Linked DNA regions of Macaca fascicularis. The protein of the gene in region 2 purifies or fractionates together with the protein of the main gene of each other region. This does not show direct contact. Links are inferred from orthologs where the notes say so. Each region holds a gene or a part of one and is shown on either strand. Other genes may lie near its edges.

Region 1 (3,650 bases), on a different chromosome or scaffold from region 2:
GCTACCTTTCTGAGCTGTCAGTTGCTACCCCAGTAGCAGGCCTTGGGCAACAAGTCAAGGCTGAATCCTCATTCTCCATAAGGCCGGGAGGAATGTGGGCTAAGAAGCAGAGTCTTCTGGGGGTGCTGGTGCTCTCACAGTTCTCCTCTCCCCTGGGGTCCTCCTCCTGAGCTCCTGGGGCCAGATGGTCAATGGGAATGAGAGTCTGGCTGGGGAAAGGGACAAAGCAGCGGCTGACAGGCTGCTGAAATGGCTGAGAGTGGCACAGGGCAGAGGAGGGGAGAGAATGGCTCAGAGTCCTGAAGCACCACCTCCTTCAGATCAGTATCTCCACCATGTCTGACAAGTCCTGGACTCTGGATGTAGCTACAGAGTCTGGAGAGAGACAAGAACACAGGCACATGCCAATGAGTGTTACTAGATTGCTTTTAAAATCCTGGCACATTTTAAATACAACGATCTTTCTTCACCAACTTTTCCCACCTCTGCTGCCCAGGTTCCCAGAACTTGGCCAACCAAGCACAATGCTCTGCACCCTCTCAGTGCTCAGCCCAGCCCACCAACCTCCGATGTGTAAGATGCATTTGTTTCTAACTTTGAACTGGTTGGAGGGCTTAGACAGAGCAATGGAGAGCCTGAGGGAGGGAGGCTGCAGCATTCTTTTCATGCCTGTGGTTTTCTGAGATCAGGAGGCACAGGCAAATATGCAAAGGCCAGTGTGAAAGGGGAGTGGAAAAAGAAATGGCATCTTCTCAGATTTCTCTTTCCCGGACTCTCAACAGGCTTCCAGAGTGCCATCGGCATGACTTGCAAGCTCCATTCTCTTGGATAATCAAATTGGAAATTAACTATGTAGGGAAGACCATGAAAGAGGAGCTTAAGTGCCTCCCATCTGGTTGCTTTCTTTCTGAATTCTGGATCTGCCTCTAATCAGGGTTTCCAATTTCCCTATTCATGCAGCCAGCCACCCTTCATGTTCACAGTGAGGTGGGCCAGGCACGCTGCTCACCTCTGGCTATGCAGGGCTCCCCATGGAGTACAGGCAATGACCCCGAGGGGGCTGGGAAGAAAAGGCTTTGGTGTTCCAGTTCACACCCCAGTGCTCCCCTGGCCCTGCCTAGCACAGAAGTGGGGTCAGAAGGACTTACCCAGAGAGGCTGCTCTCTGGCTACTGCTGCACCCCAGAAGGCTGTCAGGCTCCGGTGGCAGGCAGGTGGAGGTGCTGTCTGGGGGGCCGTCAGTCTGGGTGCTCCCATCTCTGCTCCCGTGTTTGGCATGGGCAGCAGGGGGAGGTGTGACCACTGGCTCCTCTGTGGGTGCCCTGTCTGCTGGGAAGGTAGGTGGATGGTTATTGCCACACCTGTAAGATGTGGCCCTGGTGAAGGACACTGTAAGTTAACTGTCCTTGCTGGGGATTCAAGGTGGAGTGGGCTGCTCTTGATCTGCAAGAACTTTAAGACTAAAAATGCTCCTATTTTAAAATGGGAATGACTACCAGATTGGATTGGCTTCCAAATGTTTTGGGTGGTGGGACCCTTCTTTGTAGATTAAATCTTCTAGAGTTTCTGTGGCATCTGCTTAGAAGGAAGAGTGGAGGGGGCTTGCATAGAAGGTGCATCTGCACAGGAAGCTCTATTTTTCTCAGTTCAGTGGCTGGGGCTAAAGCATGATGGAATTTACGGCGATGGGGACGAAATACCCCTCTTCACACTGGCAGGAGAGCCATGGGCTGTAGAGTCACTGGAGGTAGAGAATAAGCCAGCTCCCCTGGGAGACAATCAGGAAGCCCTGGCTCCCATGAGCCTCAGTTCTGGGAGGAAAGGTCTGGCAATCTGTGTTCAGGCCCAGGAGAAACTACCTCTCAATCTATCCCAGCAGCAGCCTCCTCTTACCTGTAGTCAGCCGAGCAGGGGCGTCCGCTGCTTGTCGCTCACTAGAAGAGAGCCCTTGCCAGCCCTGGGTTCCTGCTGCCGCAGCCACGAAGACAGATGGCACCGACTTGGCAGGCCGTAGGGAGCCCTGGGTGGCCTTGCCAGGGTCTCTCCTGGAGCGCTGCTGAAGGACCTTGATCACTGCATCCTTCTCCAGGATCTGGGCATGGAGCACCTTTAACCTGAGGGGTGAGAGGCCATGCCCACACTGTCAGACCCATAGATCCAGCCACCCTTCCCGCCTCATAGGAGTTAGAGGAAAAGCACCCCCCCTCCCCTAACCCGGCCAGGCTGGATCTTTCTGTGCTTGTAGCAGGGACCTAGAGGGGGCTTAGAAATGGTACCACAGCTCTGGCATGTGATGCCCTTAGAGCCCAGGCTCTGAAAACCACCAGTGCATAAGGCCCTGGGCCCTTCCCACACCAGGAAAGGCAGGCCATCAAGGGTGGGTTCCAGAGTCATCAGATGATAGTGGAGGCACAGCCCTCATCCTGGAGGGCAGCACTCCGGAGAGAGGAGGCAGGGCCTAAGCCCTAAACGGCACCCAACACCTCCACAGTAAGAGTCTCCTGGGTAGACCAAGGACTCGGTATTTCTAGGCAAATGCAAGTTTACAGCGCCTGGTGTGCCAAGCATGCAGGTTCAGCTTGCTTGAGGGACTGCTGAGCTGTGTGGGGAAAGCGGCTTGTTTATCAGGGATCAAGGGCAGGGCAGTGACTGGACATTGCCACCCGCCTCCCAAACCTCAGGTGCCTGGCCTGCAATGCCGAACCTGCTTTCCATCTCCTGGTGCCTGTGGCCACCAGTGAGCAGACCCTCATTGAAGCTGCTGCTGGGCGAGGGCTGCGGGGAGTGTCGGATGAGAGTGGTGTCACGCTGGGCAGCAGCCGTGGCAGCCGCATCCATGGCAAACTGCCTCATGGCACGTTCCTCCAAATACTTCTGTTCCCACTTGGTCATGTCGGCCTCCAGCGCCAGGATCTGCTCCTCCTTCTCGCGCAGTTGTTCTGACAGCCGAAGGGCGCTGAGCTCTGGGGACCCGCCACTGCCACTGCCACTGCCACCACCTGGGGTGCCTGCCTGTCTCTGCAGAGCAAGGAGTGGAGACCGTGGTCAAGGGTGGAGGTTGGGGTGCGGCAGCCACTGGTCTTCGCCTCCACACAAGGACTGTCACTCTTACATGTGCGTGTTCGGCCATACACAGCATACATTTCCCCATCCTTCCTCTACCGAAATGGGGGTACAGCACAGGTCCCCATACCCCTGCCCTGAATCCTATGGCCAAGGGCATAGAGACCAAACAAATAATCCTCCGAACTGGCAAAGGGGGTGCTATCAATAATTATACTGGGAAAATTGGTGTAAATTAGAACAGAACTGGGCAAACCGGGGGTTCAGCCATGCTAACTCTGTCACAAGGGTAGGTTTGGGAGTGGAGAAATAGCTATTTGGTTTGTAAACACCAAGAGTTGTTTACACAGAAGTCCAAAGTGAGGTTAAGCACTATGGATTAGGGCAACCATGTTTCCTCCCAATCTCAGGGAGGCATATAAAAGCTGGCTGGTGGCTGGGCGCAGTGGCTCATGCCTGTAATCTCAGCACTTTGGGAGGCCAAGGCTGGTGGATGACATGAGGTCAGGGGTTTAAGACCAGCCTGGCCAATATGGTGAAACCCCATCTCTACTAAAAATACAAAAATTAGCTGGGCGTGGTGGCACG
Region 2 (3,750 bases):
GTTGTAGTCGCTACAGAAATCCACACAAATAATTGAAGAAGCCATCTATACACCTGCTCTATAACTCTTTAACTTATTTCACAATGAATGAAAAATCAGCCATTTATCCAACCCTAAGCCTCACGTCACAAGAATCTGAAGATCTGATCACTAATAAACTCGCACATGCTAATATTTGCAGAAACAGTTAAAAATAGAAAGATAATAGGTCCAAGCTAGCTTGGAAGCGATTTCTGCACTCAAAAACCCCTTTCACGGCTTTGGCCCTCTGCAAATTAAGCGGGGTTAAGGAAGTGTAGGAGGCCGATAACCCAGCTCCGACTCCAGGAGCCCAGGGCCGGGGAGAAACTGCGGGTTATCGCGGGAGGGTGGGGGGAGGCGGACAAGTCGTCAGGCCTGATAGCCAGGCGTAGCCGAGGCCTAGCTCCCCGACTCCAAATCACTCCACCTCAGTAATGGCGTTTGGTGTCAAGTGGAACCAGACCGGGCAGGAAAGCGGCCGCCGGGCCGGGGGCGGCCAGCCCCCAAACCGACCCGGGCCCCGGGTGCGGACGGCGGGGGGGCTGCCCGCCACGCCCGGAGACTCCATCCTCCTACTCGGCCCCAGACAGGACGGGAAGGGGGAGGAGGGGGAGGGACGGAGCCGTCAGCCATTTTCCCTTACAGTCCAAAACACACAAGACACGCTCTCGGGACACCGGCTCCACACACAACACGGCCCCGCGCGCCCGCCCAGCCCGGGCCGGAGGAGGGGGAACGGGGAAGCCCCGGCCCGGCCGGCAGCCGCCGAGGGAAGAAGCTCACACACACGCACACCCCCCTCGCCCTCCTCCCCTCACCCACATCCAGCTGTTGGCCCCGGGAAGGCGCGTCGCCCCGGTGCAGCTGGCCACTCACCGCACGACACAGACGTCTTCTCAGAACCAGGGCACGTGGAGGCGGGAGGCAGCAGGCGACGCTGGGGCTCGGTCTCGGGACAAGACCTACCCTGGGTGCATCCCAGGCCCGTGGGTGACCGGCAACAAAGTGTATTGAAAGGCTGCGGCGGCCGGGCTCGGGGCTGAGGGCGTCTCAACCAAAAGGCTGCACGCCCGGCGCCGGAACTCGCTTCTCGCCGCGCCCGCCTCCTCCTCCTCCTTGGCCGGCTACGGCCCTCTTCCCCCTTCTCCCCTCAGGCTGGGGCTCTCGCTGAGCTCAGACGGGCTCCGGGCGGTGCGTTTCTCCTGCGTCACCTCCTCCTGCTCCTCCTCCTGCAGCGACGGCTTCACCTTCCCCTAGTCGCCGCCTCTGTCCCCGTTCCGGGCCTGGTGGCTTTGCAGCAGCTCTCTCCTAGCTCCCGGCGCCGACCCAAGCACCGGGCGCTAAGGCGGCCGCCTCCCGCGAGAGAGAGGCGGCGGCGGAGGGCTCCCGCGAGGCCCGGGAGCTATGCAAGGCGGGGAGGGGCTCGGCGCGGCAGAGGCCCTGACGGGGCCGGGTGCGGAGAGGTTGCGGCTCCGGCGGCGGCGGAGACTAGCGTCCGCAGCCGCGGATGCCCGTCCTCGTCAATATGGCGGATCCGGCAAACCAAAAAAAAAAAAAAAACCGCTCGGCCAGTGGCGGCGGCGGTAGCGGCGACGGCGGCGGCAGCAGCGGTGGCGGCGGCGGCGCAGACTCCCACTAGCCCCAGAGCCGCCCAAGACCCGAAGTTCTCCGCCCCCGTCAGACCCCGCCCCTCTCAGGCCCCTCCTTTCGGGCCTCCCCCTGCTCCTGCCCAGCCCCCTCCCGCTCAGCTGCCCCCTCTTCTCCCGCCTCCACCCCGGACCGTCAAGGCTGGGAGAGCAGCGCGAGCCGCCGAGGGGGCCGGGCTTGGGCGCGAGCCGCTGGGAACCCGGAGAGCTAGGGTGGGGGAGGGGAAGACAATGCGGTAAAGATTGTTCGCGCAGTACCGTTTCTTCCGGCTGGCCCCTTCAGGGTCGTGCTACCGCCAGAAATCCTGTTCCATGCCCCTCGGCTCAGGAGCGGGACGAGGGCAGAGGTGGCTCTAGGACCGAAGTTGGGGAAGGGAGGCCCGAAAAGATCTGGCACACCACGCCGGAGGGGCTGGGCGGCAGGGACTGGCGGGGTGTGCGGTCACGACGGGGTTAATCGCGTGAGCCGCAGCCGCGTCGCTCATAGTTTGACTCTGGCCGCTTGTTTTTGTTCCATTGTGAACCGTGGCCCCACCGACAAGAACCCGGATGATGACGTCACCGGCCTCCCCCTTTTCCGGGATCGTGGGGGGAGGGGCGCGGAAAGATGAGATCCCGAGACCACGCGCTGGGCTGTCGCCGCCGCGGTGCCTGGAGGTCCCGGCGGCGCAGCTGACCCGCGTCACGTGACGCACGAGCTGGCCGGGCCACTGGGCTGCGGGGGCGCGAGGTCCCGAGGGCCTGGCCACCTGCTTGGCGCCGATAGGGGGAAGGTGTGGCTATCTCCTGCAGCGGAAGGAGGGGGCGTGGGGAGTGAGGTCCTTTTCCCCACCCCGCGAGGGAGGTGCTCTGGGAAACACTTTCACACGATCGCGCAGCATCAGTACTTGAAAGCGTTTAGGCGTCCTCACAGCGTAACTGACGGGACTGACAACCTTGTTGGCTATAGGAGCCCTTCAAACAGACCAGGAAAGAAAAAAATTATAAAGTACCCCAGACGGCTTAGCGAATAGGCCGTACTTGATATGGCAAGATTAGCCTCCATTGCCAGATCATCAGCACGATTCGGTGTTAGAACCCGGAAGAAACTTATGAACCCATCCGCTGTGTCATGGACTATTTTCTACATGTTTATATTCCAAAGTGCAGGCGTAGGAAAAACTTAGGCTAATCTCAAATTAATGGGGTGCTTGGAACAATTCTATACAGTCTGCCTAGGATGCCCAAATGAAGAGGAAATTAACAGTTCCTAATTTACAGATTTCCTTTTGACTTAAAACTACCTGTGGACATCAAATGGCATGCAAAATCATAGTAAAACCTTACAAAACGAGATTTTATAGAGAACAGGGTTGAATTTAGTTATGCTATGATTATATCAGTTTGTAATAAAAGACTGTTAAAAATGGAACCAAACTAATTTAGGTGACAGTGAAAGCAAGTTATTGGTATCTTAAATTTTTAAACCATTTCTCTATTTAGCACTAGATTGTTTACAAATTTTTCACCACAAAATTACCTAATAGGGTATCCAAGATACATCATTCATAGCCCTAATAACTCTTAGCATATGTTACCTTGTTTTTGTAATTATTTCCATGAATCATTTGCTTACCCACTAGCTCATGGGCTTCTAAAAAGTAGACACGACCACCCGTGTACACTGTAGGCTGTTATCTTCGATTTTAGATAAGGAAACAGAAAGGGTAAATGATTTGCCCAAGGTCAGGATTGGAAAGTGTTGAACACTGGTCTTTTAACCCTATCAAAAGTGCACCTTTAACAAGGATTGTCCCCTCTCACCAATTCTGTTCAATATTGTACTTGCAGTTCTAGCCTGAAAAAGAAATGAAAGACATCCAGATAAGAAAGGAACAATTAAACTATCGCTACTTTCACATGACATGATTTTATATATAGAAAATCTTGGGAAATCCACTATAAAAAAAACCTAATAAAGCCAATAAGCAAGTTCTGGAAACTGCAGGATATAAGATCAATATTTAAACATCAGTTATAGTTTTACACACTAGCAATAAACAATCTGAAAATTAAGTTAAAATTCCATTACAATAGCATCAAA

Evidence for each region.
Region 1: the proteins of USP9X (region 2) and AMOTL2 purify together in Homo sapiens (affinity purification with western blotting; 3 studies listed by BioGRID). This does not show direct contact. The link is inferred for Macaca fascicularis from reciprocal best matches to the Homo sapiens genes USP9X and AMOTL2.

The regions. Positions count from the first base shown.
Region 1 is NC_088376.1:37,267,081-37,270,730, forward strand, and holds part of AMOTL2 (angiomotin-like protein 2), read right to left. Parts: intron 3,018-3,650; coding exon 2,704-3,017; intron 2,114-2,703; coding exon 1,893-2,113; intron 1,329-1,892; coding exon 1,149-1,328; intron 376-1,148; coding exon 317-375; 3' UTR 1-316. UniProt on the Homo sapiens protein: Regulates the translocation of phosphorylated SRC to peripheral cell-matrix adhesion sites. Required for proper architecture of actin filaments.
Region 2 is NC_088395.1:41,066,943-41,070,692, reverse strand, and holds the start of USP9X (ubiquitin carboxyl-terminal hydrolase 9X), read right to left. Parts: upstream 2,207-3,750; 5' UTR 1,926-2,206; intron 1,659-1,925; exon of another isoform or gene 898-1,658; intron 1-897.